Linked DNA regions of Struthio camelus. The protein of the gene in region 2 interacts with the protein of the main gene of each other region in a pairwise test. Links are inferred from orthologs where the notes say so. Each region holds a gene or a part of one and is shown on either strand. Other genes may lie near its edges.

Region 1 (8,101 bases), on a different chromosome or scaffold from region 2:
GTTGAATACAACTCTTTATACAACCTTGATTATGCAAACAATAAAAATGACCTTTTCTCACAAGAAAATCTACACAACTTGTTTACTAAGCAAGCTGGAAGGAAACTAGTTTCCATGCTAACTCTTAGCAACTTCACATATCACTTGGGAGTTCAGTGCAAAGCACCAAAAAAATATTGATGCTTACAGTACACAGTAATATCTTTGCTAAATTAAAAATTAGCACTCCCTCCTATACAGAATTCTCTTTAACCAGTTTTAAATCTGAGTACCAGGGCAAAGGAAGAAAGCAACAGTTCAACACACACGTGTAGATATGGGCCTGAATGCATAATCTAGGAGTCAGTACTGTAACAGGCAACACTCAGACAACATGAAGGGGTACAATTCACACACCTTCCCAACTTTCAGTAAGTCTACCTTAACCCACTATATAGCATCTCATTTATACAAACATAAAAGATGTCTCACAAATTGACACATCACGCTATTCTATCAATGTACATGCCCATCAGCTCTTTGTAATAAAAAATAAAACTTCTATAAAATCATTACTAGACTCATATTTATAAGCCTTTAACTCAACATCCATTACAGGATAGACAGACATGCAAGACCATGAGCAGGAACACAGCAGCTAAACTTATGTTTTCAAACACAAGCAATCAAAAATTTCATTAGGAACTCTCTTGCATGTCTTGGCATTTTGGAGGGCTGGGTTTTGGGTTTGTCCCCCTTGCAAAATATTTCCAGTGCAAGTCCTGTCCATGTTTGTAGCTGGAAAGATAGGGACACAAATATTTAACATCCTTGTCACTTCTGGTCTGTCAAGAGAGGGGTTAGCATCAGCTGGTAATGTTTAAAAGTGGGACCTTCTCAGCCCCCAAGGAGAGTGCCACAAGCTATTATAGAGTGAGCCCTACTGTTCAACCTCAGATACGGCACTACAGCTCTGGCATGACTACTGCGGCTCCAAAGCATTGCAACAGGGAAGCATCTGGACACTGGAATTAGGTCCAGGGAGTGTAACACTGCACAATACCTCACATAAACAACTACTGTCCCTCAAAGCTTATAATCTCCATATACAACACAACAAGAAGAAGGAGAAACAGAAAAAAAAAGGTTAATGAGGACTTGCTCAAAGTCATTCAGCAGCTAATATCAAAACTAGGAACTGAGACAAGTTGCAAGTTGGGACTGCGCCCTAGCAGTTACTTTACCTCAAAATCAAGAACGCCAATTTTCTTTGGGTCAAGTCTATTTATTTCTTAGTACTGTGGTTGACACGTTTCAATCTAAAAGGCAAAATGTAAAAATAGCAAAGGCAATAAAGCTTGCTTTTACTTTTGTTAATTTGGGGGAGTTTAGGCCATCCTGTTGGCTAAACAGATGATCCAGCAAACATGCAACTCAAATACAAGGCTTACCCAGAGGCAGTTAGACTAGAACATCAGAGACAATAATGCTAGAGCTGTTGACGTTCCATGAGCTGGAAGTTCTGTTTTCTGTTACAAAAGTTCTGAGACTAATCACTAGTCCTCTAACAGAAAACCTAAGGCAAACAGTGCTACTGGGGCAGAATGAGAGGAAACAATCTTGAATTGAACACACAAAGGCACTACACTAGAGACCAAAAAGGTCTCTGCAGGACTTCAATTCTTTTACAAATGGGAACAATTAAAATAAGTTTTAAAAACAGAAATTTTTTTACCTCATTTAGTCCACTGAACCAAAAACAGGAGAAAATGGAGTTCTGATACTTCTCTTCCATATACCTTTGCAAGCTAGGAATATTTACGTGACTTAGTTGCTCAACTAATCCAAACGAACAAGTGTATTAGTCATTCCTATTTCATAGGAGAACGATAACCTCAAGTTCGTGTAAGCATAACTAGCAGGAATAAGTCAAGAAAAAAATATGAAAAACGTAGCAAAGTTGTTTAGACTATTTGAGAAGATACGATGAAAAGTGAGACACTCTCTTAAGTTGTCGTCTCCATCAGCTTCTCTGAAGCTTTTTTTTGTACTCTAAGCTTTTGTTTTTTAATTTATAAATATAGTTGGAATACTATACTATATGTGCTTATAGCGCAGTCATTCCTAAAGGAAAAAAAAAAGTCATCTACTTATGTATTCATTAGATTACGCCAGCATACCAACGAGCAAAACATCAACGCTACAAGAACAAATTTCACGCGCGACATAAGAAAACGCCCGAGAATCTCCGGAGCGCGATCCGGGAAGCAGAAAAGACATCATCGGCACCGATCTCGGGAAACGAGCGCCTCTTTCCCACCTCCCGAGCGCCACGGGCCGCCTCCACCTGCTGCAAGCCCGCAGGCTCCGGCCACACGGCCCGCTGGCGCCCGGCGGCCGCCGCGCTCAAGCCCGAGGCTGCGCCGAGGCCGCCGCCGCTCGCCGGCCGGGGCCGTGGCCAGCGCCCCCGCCTCCCCTGGCCACGGGGCGCCGCCGAGGCGGCCGTTGGGCCGCTCGCGCGCGCGGGTTGGGGGGGGGGGGGTCAGGGCAGCCCCGCGCGCGCCGCAGGACCGTTGGAGGGCGCGAGACCGCGGCGGCGGCGGGCGCGGAAGGGAACGACCAGGCCCCGCCGCGCGGGCCGCGGCGAACGGCGGCGAACCTCAGGCCCCGCCCGCGTTACCGGGCGCCGGGCCGCGTCCCCACCACCCTCGCACCGCCCCCAGCCCGGCGGCCCCGACCGCGGCCGCTCGCCGCCCGCCGGCGCGGAGCGGGCCCGGTCGGGGACGGGTATAAATGGGTCTCCCGGCCTCTCCCCTCCTCACCATTGTGGTCCATGATTCGGCGCGGGGCACTGTGGGAGCGGAAGGGTGGGGCCGGAAGCGGAAGTTGCCGGGAGGCGGGCGTGAAAAAGGGCGCTCTAGGGATAAGTCCGCGGCGCAGCGCTCGGCGCGTCTCTGCGGAGCGACTGCGAGACACCGAGGGCGCGGCGGAGCCGGCGGCGAAGCGGCGGGGGTCTGGCGAAGCGGCGCCGAGCCGTAACTGGCGCCTCTCTTTCCCAGCAGGCACCGCGAGAAGGCGGTGGGGGAGCGCCGTGCTGCCGCAGCGCCCGCTGGGATAGCGGCTGGCGGCCTGCTGCCTCGAGGTTCTCCCCCCACACCTTGGTAGGGCTGCGCATGCGCCATGGGGTGCCTGCGGGGATGGCGGCGGGTTGGCGGAGAGGGGCCTGGCCGCCCTGCGCGGGGCTTTCCCGGGGCGGCGCGGCCCTCGCCCGGCTCCGGCCGCGGCCCTGGCGCTGCCCGGGGCGGCGGGGAGGTTCCGTGCGGTCCGCTCAGGCGCCGCGCTCTGCCGGCGGGCGGCTCGGCCTGCGCTGCGCGCCGCCCTGGGCCCCCCTGAGGCCGCAGCTCGCTGCCCTGCGCGGGCTTCCAAAGGCCCTGGAAACACGGACGTGAACGTGCGCCTTCGTGGAGGAGGGGGAAACAGCACGGAGGAGGCCGGGCTTTGTGCGCGGGGGCTGCGGCCGCCCTGCCTGCGGGCGGCGCGGCGGCATGCCGCGCCTGCTGCCCGTTTCTGAAGAAGCTGGGCGAGTCGCCGGGCTTGAAGCCACGTTGGGCTCTGTCAGCTGCTGATGAGCTGCCTTAAGTCTTACCAGAGACGGGACAAATTCCTTGCGCTCAGAGCAATCCCGTAGTCAGGATTACTTAAAAACCAACCAGACAAACAAAACAGTTAGTGACTTAAGGGAGCAGCAAACTCCAGTGCATCCTAAAGCTTGATAGCACTAGAGCTCTGTGACTGTTCTGATATTTTCATAAACTTAGCTTTTTGTGACTTCTGACCAGTTAAGGGGGAGACTGTCTATAGAACAGGTTTATAGCACTGAAGAAAGGAGAGGAATATAAAAATAACTAAATCATAGTCTATAGGGCTTAAAGGGATCGTAAAGCTTAAGTCTCTTAACCCTTCCAGAGTTGTAAGGTGGGGACAGCTCTACTTCAGACACTTAAAACTGATGACTGCTTGTCTTGCTGAATCTCCAGGGTTGTGACTTTGTGTCCATGCAGACAGCTCTTCTCATTACCTTAAAATTAGCCTTACCATTAAAAAGCTGTGATTTAAGCCTACTGTATCTTCTCTTATCCCCAGAAGGTACAGAGACTTTGCTGGTTGTCTAAAATAAGTGGCAGATGTAAGGGAAATGAGAAACCTATCCCTACATAATACACTTTATTTCACCATAATATGAATTCACAAAAAGAACAGTTTTTAAAAACAGAACAGATGCATGGAGAAACTTTTCAGTATGCACAACTTTATTTTCTAGTTAATGGACATAATGACTTTTAAAATGTAGCCTTTTTAAAAGGGTAAAAAACAAATACGTCTCCAATTTAATATTTGACGTGCAAAGATGGTAGTAATCACAAGTGCAGATAAAAATATCACTTCTGCATTCAGCTGAAAAAGATAATCACATATATCTTGTGCATTACTTATGGATGTCTGAATTAGTACAAAATTGTACAGAATTTCAGCTTCATTACAAAACCTATTATTTTGGTATTCTTCATTTTGATGGATATGTAGATAAGAGTGTTAAAAGGCACGTATTCCCTGCCTCACTGAAAAAGGCATCTGAATGCCTTCTGCATGTTGCTCTTTATTGTTTTGGGCAAGTGTAAGCTTTATATGAAATGCTATTATTCAGGAAAGGTGAATATTTTTTAATAATAAAGTTAAGAAATGCAACCTTGCCTTGAAGAAATATGCAGGCCAAAAATAAGTGCGTTGCATTGTATTTTATTACAACTAATTCCAGCTAAAATGTCATATTTGTAAAGAAAGCTAGAAGACTGTTGAAAATATATATATATGTATTTTTTCTAAATACCTATATGGGCAAGAACTAGAGAAGGTTCGAAAATAATCTGTGCCCACATTTTTGTCAAGTAAGAATCTGTGCTCAAACTTCACAGTGCAGATGTTCTCTCAAGGACAAAACATTCACTGCTATCTTTCTAATATCACTTTTTTCTGCGGTGTTTGTTCTGCCTAAAAATAGCAGAAAGCTCCTTTACCAGTCCCAAGCAGAATGTTTCCTTTTGCTTTTTACATAAAATGTACATCCACTTTAGAGGAACAATACATCCTCTGAGAAACATGCTACTGGCCTTATCCTTCATTCACGTGCATTGGCAGCAGTGGCTTGTATGCAGGATAATATAAACTGAGGCCATGGCCTAATATGAAAGGTTTGTCAGTAATGTTGGCAGAAGCACCAACCTCCTGAGTTATGCTGGCAAATGGAGGGGGAGAGAATGAAGATAGGAAGTGTTTGCTATTATTTCCTAAAAGCCTGAAGTGTCAAATCACAGCCTGAGCCTAAGCATTAGTGTAAGTTTAATCAATGCTTCCATCTTAGGAGGTGCAGGTCGGTCTGATTTGGCTCTTAAACACATACCTAACTCTCAGCTTGTGGAGAAGCCTGTCTGACGTAAGAATTGCTCGTTCCTAACTCTAAGCGCAGGCCTGCGTTTTTGCTGGTTTGAACTAGAACATCAATATCATGTAGGATCAAACCTTTACTGCATTTGAAATGAGAAACTTTGCCGAGTGCCATGAAGGCTGAAGTTTTTGTCTTATTTAGAGAATGAAGACGACAGTCTTTGGTGCAGTTTCCCATTGTGGAAGGATCCTGGTCAACTGACTGAAGTTTATAGGAATTTTTTTCACTGATTTTGAAAGAGTTCACTCCGGTCCTTAGAGAAGAATAACTTACCTAGTGCTCGGCTTTTCACCTGAGATTTTTCCATTAACATCACCTGCAGTAACATAACAGTCTTCTCTGTGCAGTGTGATACAAGAAAATTTGTCTGACATACTTGAATAAAGAGACTTAAATATGTGAACGTACTAAAGCTAATTGGCCCACATGGTGAAGCTTAAAGGGGTTTTAGAGTCTGTATTTCTTAAGCTTTTGGTATTACATATTCCCTCACCACACAGGTTTTTCTCCATTTTAAAAATTAAGATAGTGCTAAAATATTTAAGGTAGCAGTCTGTTTTCCATTGAAACCAGTTTCTTCATGATGAAGTTAAGATCATTGATTTCTTGCATATGTATTTTATATAGTCCTAAAATCAAGGATTAAAATTTTGCAGTTTGAATCCTGTGTCTTGTGTAAATTATTGCACTTGAGCATTATGGACTGTCAAATGTCTATATGTTTCCTGTAGAAGAACAGCAGCTGTTTGATGTAGTATATTAAAAAATATATATGCTATATAAAAAAATAGCTATTCCTTAAACTAACTAAACTCCTACAATTCATTAAAAAACCTTATACTAGCTCACATTCTGACTTATATTCTGTAGCAGCCCATTCTACAAATTTCATTACGTATTTGTGGAATAAGGTTTTCGTTAATCTATGTCATGATCTGCCTCTCGATCAGCTATAGATACATAACCTAGCCAAAATAATCTTATGCGTATACTTGATTTTTTTGATTTTTTTATACTTGTTAATTTTTCATTAACAGGAGTGCATGATTTACTACAATGGGATGAATGCAGAACTAATGAACCACTATCCGAGGGCCTTTTCTATTGAAATTTATCCTAATTATTGTTTTATAGTAGTGCAGCACACAGTTTTGTGTTTGTGTGACTTTGTCACTTGTCCTGTGTTTCATTTATCTAACAACCTGCAGCAATTCAAGGAATTGCTTGGAAAGAACTATTGAGGTGCATTTTTCAAGAGTTTTGTCAGCAAGTGTGGTCACCTTAACGTTCTAGGACTGCAAAGCCTTGGCCAGCTAGAACTCCTGTCCTCTTGCTAGGCGTTGTACAAATACATAACAGGAGGTCTCCGATCAAAACATTTGAGTCTCTTCAACTCCCCTGGGCTAGGTTAACACAAAGCAGCTTTTCTTCCTGAACACACTGAAGTGACGGTGTGATGCACCTTCCCCCTGACTAGTTCCAAAACTGATTAAGTCTTTTGTAATAGATTTTTTTTTATCAACGTATCAGGTCAGAACTTGCTCACTGAATCAGTCTGGAGTATTTCAGGGATAATGGTAGTCAAATGTGGAGATTTCTAGAGATCTGCATCATTCAGACAAGGAATCAGGGTTTTCTTCAAGTGCAAAGATTGGTTTCATTGCAGAAAATGTTTTTATAATACCGGTGCATAAATATTGCTGTGAGTTCACAGGTATGACAGTACCAGCAGTTCTTCATGAAGCGAGTCTGCGCATAGCCTATTGACAAGTTTTTCAAAAGGTGGAGAGAAAGGGACAATGGTTAGTGCTGAGTACAAATCACTTGGAAAAATAAAATATTTATGTACAAGTTACCAACCTGGCCTCAATGAAAGTACAAATAAAGTAACTGTAAAAGGTCTCTTCGAAACAGCCCCCCTCTAACTGGAGCCTACATCAGACACTTCGGTCAGGAATTTGCAGATCTGAAAGGTACTAGCTCTTGCCTTCAAAAAAACTGGCCATAAAGGTGGAGGATGGAAACCTCTCAGAACGGTTTGACCTTGGACTGGTGGTTTTGTGCCAGCATTCTTTTCCTTATTTTTCTGTAATGTAAATAACTAAGCTCTCTTGGGAATCGGAATCAGAAGCCAGGGCTTTTGGCCTGCTTATCTTCATAGCTTTGTGAATCCTTCACTCCTTTCTGCCCAGTGGCTTCCAGAGGAGTGGAAAGTGCTTCTCCCCACAATAACCTGTTGCTTAGAGTACTCACCAGAGAAGTGGAAGAAGTGTGTTTGTCTCGTGTGTGCTAAAAAGTAATATTTGGATCTCTTGCAATATTCATACCAAACAAAAAAAGGAGGGGTTGAAATCAGGAGTGCCAAATATCACAATCTATTGAACGAGCCCTGATGAAGTTTAAGAGGCTTTTGCTTTGGTCTTAAGTTTTTCCTCTCACTGCTCTGACTCCCAGGCCAATCTGACCTCCCTGGTCAGGTTTTCCTAGGAGATGTCACGCAGTGGAAGAAAACACAACACAAGGTGATGCTGACAACCTCTACCCAGCCACAACTTCCTCTTACCTACTTCCTTCCAGGTTGCACAGCAACCTTGCTGCAGCCTTTGCTAGAGCATGTCA
Region 2 (7,919 bases):
CACTGGCTGCATGCAGCGAGTGCTCAGTGCTCAGCACCCAGCACCCACCCCCACATTGGCTGCATGCAGCAAGTGCTCAGTACCCAGCCCCACAGTGGCTGCGTGCAGCGAGTGCTCAGTGCTCAGCACCCAGCCCCACACTGGCTGCATGCAGCGAGTGCTCAGTGCTCAGCACCCAGCACCCACCCCCACATTGGCTGCATGCAGCAAGTGCTCAGCACCCAGCCCCACAGTGGCTGCGTGCAGCGAGTGCTCAGTGCTCAGCACCTGGCCCTGTACTGGCTGCATGCAGTGAGTGCTCAGCACCCAGCACCCACCCCCACACTGGCTGCATGCAGTGAGTGCTCAGCACCCAGCCCCACAGTGGCTGTGTGCAGTGAGTGCTCAGCACCCAGCACCCAGCCCCACACTGGCTGCATGTAGTGAGTGCTCAGCACCCAGCACCTTGCCCCACACTGGCTGCATGTAGTGAGTGCAGTGCTCAGCACACAGCACCTGGCCCTGCAGTGGCTGCATGCAGCGAGTTGCACAGTGCTCAGCACCCAGCACTTGGCCCTGCAGTAGCTGTATGCAGCGAGTGCAGTGCTCAGCACCTGGCCCTGTACTGGCTGCATGCAGCAAGTGCTCAGCATCCAGCACCCAGCCCCACAGTGGCTGCGTGCAGTGAGTGCTCAGTGCTCAGCACCCACCCCCGCACTGGCTGCATGCAGTGAGTGCTCAGCACCCAGCCCCACAGCGGCTGCATGCAGTGAGTGCTCAGTGCTCAGCACCCACGACCTGGCCCTGCACCAGCTGGCTGCGGCGAGCACGCAGCGCTCAGCGCCCGCTCGGCCCCCCTTCCCGCCCCGGCCGTGTGCACAACCTGTTTTTCCAGCTCCCGGCTGGAAGAAACCTCCCTCGCAGCCCAGCCGGATCGCCGCCGGGGCAGGGGGCCGCGGCCGGGCGGCGCGGCGGCTCTGGCGCTGGCGAGGGGGGGCGGGGGGGGGGGCGGTGCAGCACCCGGCTCCCACGCTTCGCCCACCACCCCCGGGGAGCCCAAAAATCGCCGAGGCGCCTGCCAGGGACCCGGCTTGGCCCGGCCGCGCTGCCCGCCCGGCGCTCCCCGACGCGCGGGGGCCGAGGGACCCCCGCCGGGGCTCCCCGGCGCCCCTCAGCCCGGCGGAGGGCCACGCGCGCCCCGCTTCCGCCGGCGGCACGGCCGGGCGCCAGCCGCGCCGGGGGGCTTGCGCAAGGGCGGCCGCGGCGGCGCCCGGCTGACGTCACCCCCAGTTTCGCCCTGACTTCAGACTTTCGAGGTTTCACCCACCCGGGGCTGAGTCAGCAGCGCCCCCGCGCCGGGCCGCGGCTCCCCGGGGACCGCCGCCGCGCTACGGCCTGGCACGACGCAGCCGGCGGCGCCGGGCAGCTTTCGCCGGGGGGAAACCGCCTCTCCCTCGGTGGGGAGCTTCCCGCCAGCCCCGCTCGGCCCCGGCGGAGGCGGCAAGCCGAGGACGCGTCCGGCGCGGCCCCCGCTCGGCGCAGGTGTCCCTCCGTCCTGCCCCGGCCAGGCCCTATCCGGACCCGCCGCGGGGCGGAAAACCCCAGGTGCCGCTCGCCAGCCGGCCGCAGCGCTCCCTCCTCGCCCCCGGCCCCAGCGCCAAGCTGGGAGCGCCGGCGCGGGAAAGCGGGGCCGGCCGCGGCTCCGGGGAGCGGGCCAGCCGAGCGCCTTCGTTAATGATCAGCCACAAAGCTAACGAGCCTGGCATTCGCGAGGGGCGACGGCTTGGCCGGGGCCGAGGGCGGTTTTGGGAGCCCCGCCGCGCGGCGGGCCAGCCTTCGCCCCGGCCAAACCGGAGCACACGGCGGCGCGGGGCGAAAGCGCCGGGAGCCGGCGCTCGGCGCGGCATGGCCACCCCGGCGCCGGGAGAAGCAGGGCGTCGGGGGCTTGGGGGCCACTCGGGGATGCTCGCAATGAGAGTTTGTGGAGGCAGCGGCTGGGGCGCCCGCCCTGCCGGGACAGGTATTTCGCGTCGGCGCGGCCTGCCGAGGCACGGCCTCGACGCCGGCCCCTCCGCGGGCGCCGCAGCAGGGGCCCGGCGGGCTCCGGGGGCCGCGAAACGCGGCAGGTGCCCCGGCGCGGCCCCCCGCCCAGGCCTGCCCGCCCCGACAGGTCTGCGTGCCTGAGTCAGCGCCCGCCGCCCCGGCGCTCCCGGCGAAAGGGCAGCCCGCCCGGCGCCTCCGCTCCTTAACGCTTTCGTGGCGGTGGTGGAGCTGCCCCGGCTCTGCCCCCATCGCCACCGTGGAGCCGTGCACCGCCGTGGGCACCGCGCAGGGCATCCGGGCACACGGCCCCGGCTCTGCCCCCGTCGCCACCGTGGAGCCATGCATCGCTGTGGGCACCATGCAGGGTGTCCGGGCACATGGCCCCGGCTCTGCCCCCATTGCCAACGCGGAGCCGTGCACTGCCGTGGGCACCGCACCGGGCACCCGGCTGCCCTCCATGGCCCCGGTCGCCCTCGGAGCCGTGCACCACCGTGGGCACCGCGCGGGGTGTCCGGGCACACGGCCCCGGCTCTGCCCCCATCGCCCTCGGAGCCGTGCACCACCGTGGGCACCACGCAGGGCATCCGGGCACACGGCCCCGGCTCTGCCCCCGTCACCACCGTGGAGCCGTGCACCACCGTGGGCACCACGCAGGGCATCCGGGCACACGGCCCCGGCTCTGCCCCCGTCGCCACCGCGGAGCCGTGCACCACCGTGGGCACCGCGCGGGGTGTCCGGCCGCACCGTCGCGGCTCCGCGGCCCCGGCCGCCCTCGGAGCCGTGCACGACCGTGGACGCCGCGCGGGGCAGCCGGCCGCGTGGCCGTGGGAACCCGCGCGTCCCGCCCACGCGCCCCGCGCGCCTCGGCCGCCCACGCCGCCGCCGTCGCGCCTTACCTCGGCCCAGGGCTCTGCCCGCCGCCGCCCCGTCCGGCCGCCCGGCGAAGGCGAAGGTCCCGGCGGCGAAGCCGGGCTGGCAGGAGCCGCGCAGCCCGCTCCCGGCCTGCCACGAGAGAGCCGTCAGCCCCCGCCCGTCCCGCCCGTCCCGTCCCGTCCCGTCCGTCCCGTCCCGTCCCTCACCTGGAGCAGCAGCAGCAGGAGGAGGAGGAGGAGGAAGAGGCACAGCGGGGCCGGGCAGCCCCGCCGCGGCCCCATGGCGCGGCCGAGCTCGGGGGTGCGGAGCCGGCGGCGGAGCGGAGCGCACTGCAGCCCGCAGGTGGGTCGCGGCCCGCCCCGTCCCGGCCCGCCCCGCAGGTGCCGGCCCCGTCGGGAGGCGGTGCCGCCCCGGTCCGCCCCCCCGGGAGCCCTGGGCCGGCTGTGAGAGCTCCCCGAGGGCCGCTGGGGTGTGCGTGGGGGGGGGGGTCTGAGGACCCCCGGGATGGTTCGCAGGTGTCCTGCGAAATCCGTGGGCGCCCTGGGAAGGCTGCGGGCGCTTCGCGGGGTCCCCGGGGCTCTGCACGGTCCCCGGGAGCATCACGGGCTCCTTCGGAAACCCTGGGGCTGCTTTTGGTGGTCCAAGAGGGCCGCGGGGAGCCTGGGAGGGCTGTGGGTGCCCCGGGAAGCCCGTAGGCGTCATGGCTGGGTGGGGGGGCTGTGGGTGCCCTATGGATGCTGGAGGAAATCCGTGAGCGCCCTGGAGCCCCGGGAGGGCCGAGGGCACCCCGGGAGGTACCCAGGGGACGGAGGGGCCGGCGGCTCCCCCGCGCCTCCGGCGAGCAGGGGACAAAGTCCGGCCGAGCACGAGCAAACAGCGCGGCGGTAAACAGCAGCGCGGGGAGGGGGGGGACGGCGCCGCCACGCAGCCCCGCAGAAACTTAAAAACCAAGAACAAACCAAAAAAAAAAAAAAAAAGGGCCTCCTTTATTTAAAAGTTGCACCAGAACCCGCTCACCCCGCGTTTAGCATCGCGCTAGCTTTATTTCCTAGTCAAAAACAAAAGGAGAAAGGGAGAGGAGGAAGCCAAGGGCACTTCGGGGGGGGGGGGGGCACGGCCCCAAGGCCTGGCCCGGGGGCGGCGGGGGGCTCTAGTCGTCCTCCTCGCCGCCGCCGTAGAGGTCCGCCAGCTTCTTGAAGCGGTTGCCCCAGTCGTGGAGGTAGTCGTAGTCCTGGTCGCGGTCGGAGGCGGAGGAGTGGAGGGAGCTGAGCGAGGTGGCCTCCGAGCCGCTGCCCTCGTAGTCGAACACCAGCAGCGAGTCGTAGGGGGGGGCCGTGGGGTCCGTGTCGGCCGCCTTCAGGTTCTGGGGGCAGAGAGGGGCAGCGTGGGCCGGGGCTCGGCGGGGCGGCCCGCGCAGGTGGGTGGGCGAGCGGGCGGCGGGGACTCACCTCGTCGATGAAGTTGCCAATCTCGTCGGGGTTGGCGGGCCGGGGCCGGTACTGGGGGGCCGCCATCAGTGGGGGGGCCACGTCGTTGCGGATGACCTCGGGGCGGGCATCCAGCCCCCGGTGCAGCTGGCTCAGATCATAGTCCTGCACGGGGCCGGGACGGGGGGGGGGGTGAAGGCGGACGGCGGCCGTGCCGCGTCCCCCCCACCCCTCCAACGCCGCGCACCCACCTGGTCCTCCTCGCCGCCGCCCTCCTCGCCGTAGCAAAACACGTTGTCCCGCGTGTCGTCCTCGGGCGGCAGCAGCGGCGGCTCCTTGGCCGCCCTCCTCCTCCTCCTGCCTCCGAGCAGCAGCAGCAGCAGCAGCAGGACTGCGGCAGAGGCGCGGGGTGAGGACGGGGCGCCCGGCCCCCCGCCGCCCCCCGCCGCCCCCCGCCGCCCCACGCTCACGCAGCAAAGCCAGGAGGGCGCCCAGCGCTGCCAGCACCAGGGGAGCAGCGGCGGCGGCGGGGGGGGCCGGCGGCCGGGGGCAGCTCTCGGCGTGCCCCTCGCAGTCGCAGACCCGGGCGGCCAGCACGGTGAGCTGCTCCCTGCCGCGGCCGTCGAAGAGGCGCAGGTAGACGCTGTAGAGGGCCTGCTGCAGCGGCGCCGTCAGCCGCAGCGTCACCGTGTCTGCGGGACAGGCGGTCAGGCGGGGGCGGCGGGGGGGGACGACACACACACGCCGCCCGGCCGCCCTCACCCTCGCCGCTGACTTCGGCGGCCCAGCTGTCGGCCGAGCCGTGGGCCAGCTCGGCCCGGAAAGGCGCCGCGTTGGGCGGCAGGTCCCGGTCGACGATGGCCAGGACCTGAGGCCGGGGGCTGCGGTTGCAGACGACGACGTCCCGGGGCCGGGGCTCGGGGCCGTGGTCGTTCACGTCGAGCAGGGTGAGGAGCAGGGTGCCGGTGCCGGTGGCCGGCGGCGAGCCTGCGGGAGGAGCCACGCTGCCCACGAGGGTCCCGGGCGCCGCCGGGTGCACCCGCCGCGGCCGCGCGGGGCCTTCCTCACCGTCGTCCTCGGCCAGCAGCACGGCCGCGTAGGTGCTGTCCCTGGCGAAGGGGGCCTCGCGGTCCAGCGGGGCGCGCGCCGTGACGAGCCCGCTCTCCGGGTGCACGGCCAGCCAGCCCGCCGGGTCGCTGCCCAGCCGGTACCTGCGCGGCGAGACGGCGCCGTGGCGGACACCGGCGACGGGGCCGGGTCCCAGCATCGGCGGCGGCGCCACCGCCGCTCACCTGAGGCGCTGGCCCCGCGCGCGGTCGGGGTCGCGGGCCGTGTAGGCGGCCACGGCGTGGCCCAGCGGCACGTCCTCCGGCACGCGGGCCGCCAGCGCCGGCGGCTCGAAGGCGGGCGCCTCGTTCACGTCCTCCACGCCGACCGCCACCGTGGCCGTGGCCGCCGGCAGCTTCACGGCGAAGGGCGCCGCGTTGGCCACGGCCACGTGCAGCACGAACTGCCCCCTGGCCTCGTAGTCCAGAGCCTGGGAGAGGGGACGGGCATCATCGCCATCGGCATCGCCCCAGCCGGCGGCGGTGGCGGGGCGCCCGCACGCACCTTGGCGGTGCTGAGGACGCCCTCGTTGCTGGCGGGGTCCGTGGCGATGGCGAAGGCGCCTCCCTCGTCGCCGCCCACGATGGTGTAGACAGCCCGCCACGCCGGCGTGTTCGGCTCGTCCAGGTCCGTCACGGCCAGCCGGGCCACTTCCCGCCCGGCCTCGTTCTCCGGCACGGCCGCCGCGTACTGCGGGGCCCGGCGGTGCTGAGAGCCCGGGCCCCCCGCGCCGCTGCCGGCCCGTCCTGCACCCGCAGCGACCGCCCGGCCCGGGGCCCCGGCTGCAGCGGGCACAATCCTCACCCCCCCCCCCCACGCACGACCCTCATTGCTCCCCCCATGCCCGTGCACGAGCCTCATCCCCCCGTGCACGAGCCTCATTGCTCCCCCCATCCCCGTGCACGAGCCTCATCCCCCCGTGCACGAGCCTCATTGCTCCCTCCATCCCCGTGCACGAGCCTCACTCCCCCGTGCACGAGCCTCATTGCTCCCCCCATCCCCGTGCACGAGCCTCATCCCCCCGTGCACGAGCCTCATTGCTCCCTCCATCCCCGTGCACGAGCCTCATCCCCCCGTGCACGAGGCTGGTCTCCCCCCCGCCATGCACAAGGCCAGTCCCCCAGCCCGGGGGGGGGGACAAGGGTCCCCCTCCAGCCCTGGGGCTCCATGCTACCGTTTTGGGGTCAAACTCAGGCGCGTTGTCATTGACGTCGGTGATCTCGATGACGGCCAGCGCCGTGGTGGTGAGCCCGTCGCCGTCCAGGTCGGCCGCCTGCACGGTCAGCGTGTACTCCCGCACGCGCTGCGAGCGGGCAGACAGACACCGTGAGCCCCGCGGCGGCCCACGCGGTGCCCCAAGCCCCCGGCGCCTGGCGCCCACCTCGCGGTCCAGCCCGCTGGCGATGACGCCGATGGTGCCCGTGGCCCTGTTGATGGTGAACATCTGGCGGTGGGGCTCCCGCGGCTCCTGGCTGAGGATGGAGTAGGCGATGACGCCGTTGTAGGTCTCCACGGCGTCGTCGGCGTCCGTGGCGTTCACGGGCATCACGGGGGTGCCTGGAGGGATGCGGCACCCGCGTCAGCGGGGACGGGCACCCACATCCCCCGGGGGATGGTCCCCGGGGTGCCGCGGTCGGGCGCCTACCTGGCAAAGCGCCCTCCGGCACCGAGCCCCTGAACACCTCCTGGGTGAACCGGGGCTTGTTGTCATTCTGGTCCGTCACCGTGATGATGATCTCCATGGGCTCCTCCACGGGCTGCCCGTTCTCGGACACGGCGTGGGAGAAGAGCTGCGGGGACGCAGGGGTGAGCGGCCCCGCGGCGCCGGCCAGCGCGGCGCCCAGCGTCCCCCCGGCCACCACCTACGTGGTACTTGTCTATGTGCTCCCGGTCCAGCGGCTGCGTCACCTTCATCCAGCCCGTCTCCTTCTCGATGGTGAAGACGCCCTCGGGAGGGGTGTCCGCCCCCTGCCCCGTGATGCTGTAGAAGATCTTTGTCTCTCTGTCCCGGTTGGATTTGATCTGGGTGGGGAGACGCAGCCCGGATGCAAGGGGGATGGGCACAGCCAGCATCTCACTGTGCCCTCAATGCGCAGACCCATGCACAAAGCTCAGGACCCCCCTGCCCCGATGCAAGGGGGATGGGCACAGTCGATGTCTCGCCCTGCCCAGGGCACATGCATCCCCACCAAGACCCAATACCCCTGCCCAGACAGACGCCTTCCATACCTGAACCAGCTTTTTGGGGAACGGGCCCCTCTCATTTTCGGGAACCTTGATGGGAGGGATCACCCAGTCCCTCTTCTGCCTCCTCAGAGGAGAGCGGGGCCCGGGGAGCGCCGGCACGTCGGCCTGGGGTCCCGCGCCAGCCTCCTGCGGAGAGGGGAAGGCCGGTGAGGTGCAGGGCACGCGGGCGCCCGCGCGGGGTGGGGGCCCCGGGGGCCGGGAGCGTTACCTGCGGGGAGCACCCGCTCAGCGCGGTGAGCAGGA

The links.
Region 1: the proteins of CDH1 (region 2) and CBLL1 interact in a two-hybrid assay, tested with the Homo sapiens proteins (2 studies listed by BioGRID, with this or other methods). The link is inferred for Struthio camelus from reciprocal best matches to the Homo sapiens genes CDH1 and CBLL1.

Annotation. Positions count from the first base shown.
Region 1 is NC_090942.1:16,395,956-16,404,056, reverse strand, and holds the start of CBLL1 (E3 ubiquitin-protein ligase Hakai), read right to left. Parts: upstream 3,180-8,101; 5' UTR 2,815-3,179; coding exon 2,802-2,814; intron 2,105-2,801; exon of another isoform or gene 1,715-2,104; intron 1,299-1,714; exon of another isoform or gene 1,224-1,298; intron 1-1,223. Other genes in the region: SLC26A4 (pendrin), read right to left, coding at 7,219-7,242. UniProt on the Homo sapiens protein: E3 ubiquitin-protein ligase that mediates ubiquitination of several tyrosine-phosphorylated Src substrates, including CDH1, CTTN and DOK1. Targets CDH1 for endocytosis and degradation.
Region 2 is NC_090951.1:1,732,023-1,739,941, forward strand, and holds the start of CDH1 (cadherin-1), read right to left. Parts: upstream 3,272-7,919; 5' UTR 3,177-3,271; coding exon 3,102-3,176; intron 3,025-3,101; coding exon 2,919-3,024; intron 1-2,918. Other genes in the region: B-cadherin-like, read right to left, coding at 4,046-4,258, 4,344-4,487, 4,574-4,713, 4,793-5,014, 5,085-5,309, 5,391-5,533, 5,615-5,859, 5,934-6,119 and 6 more.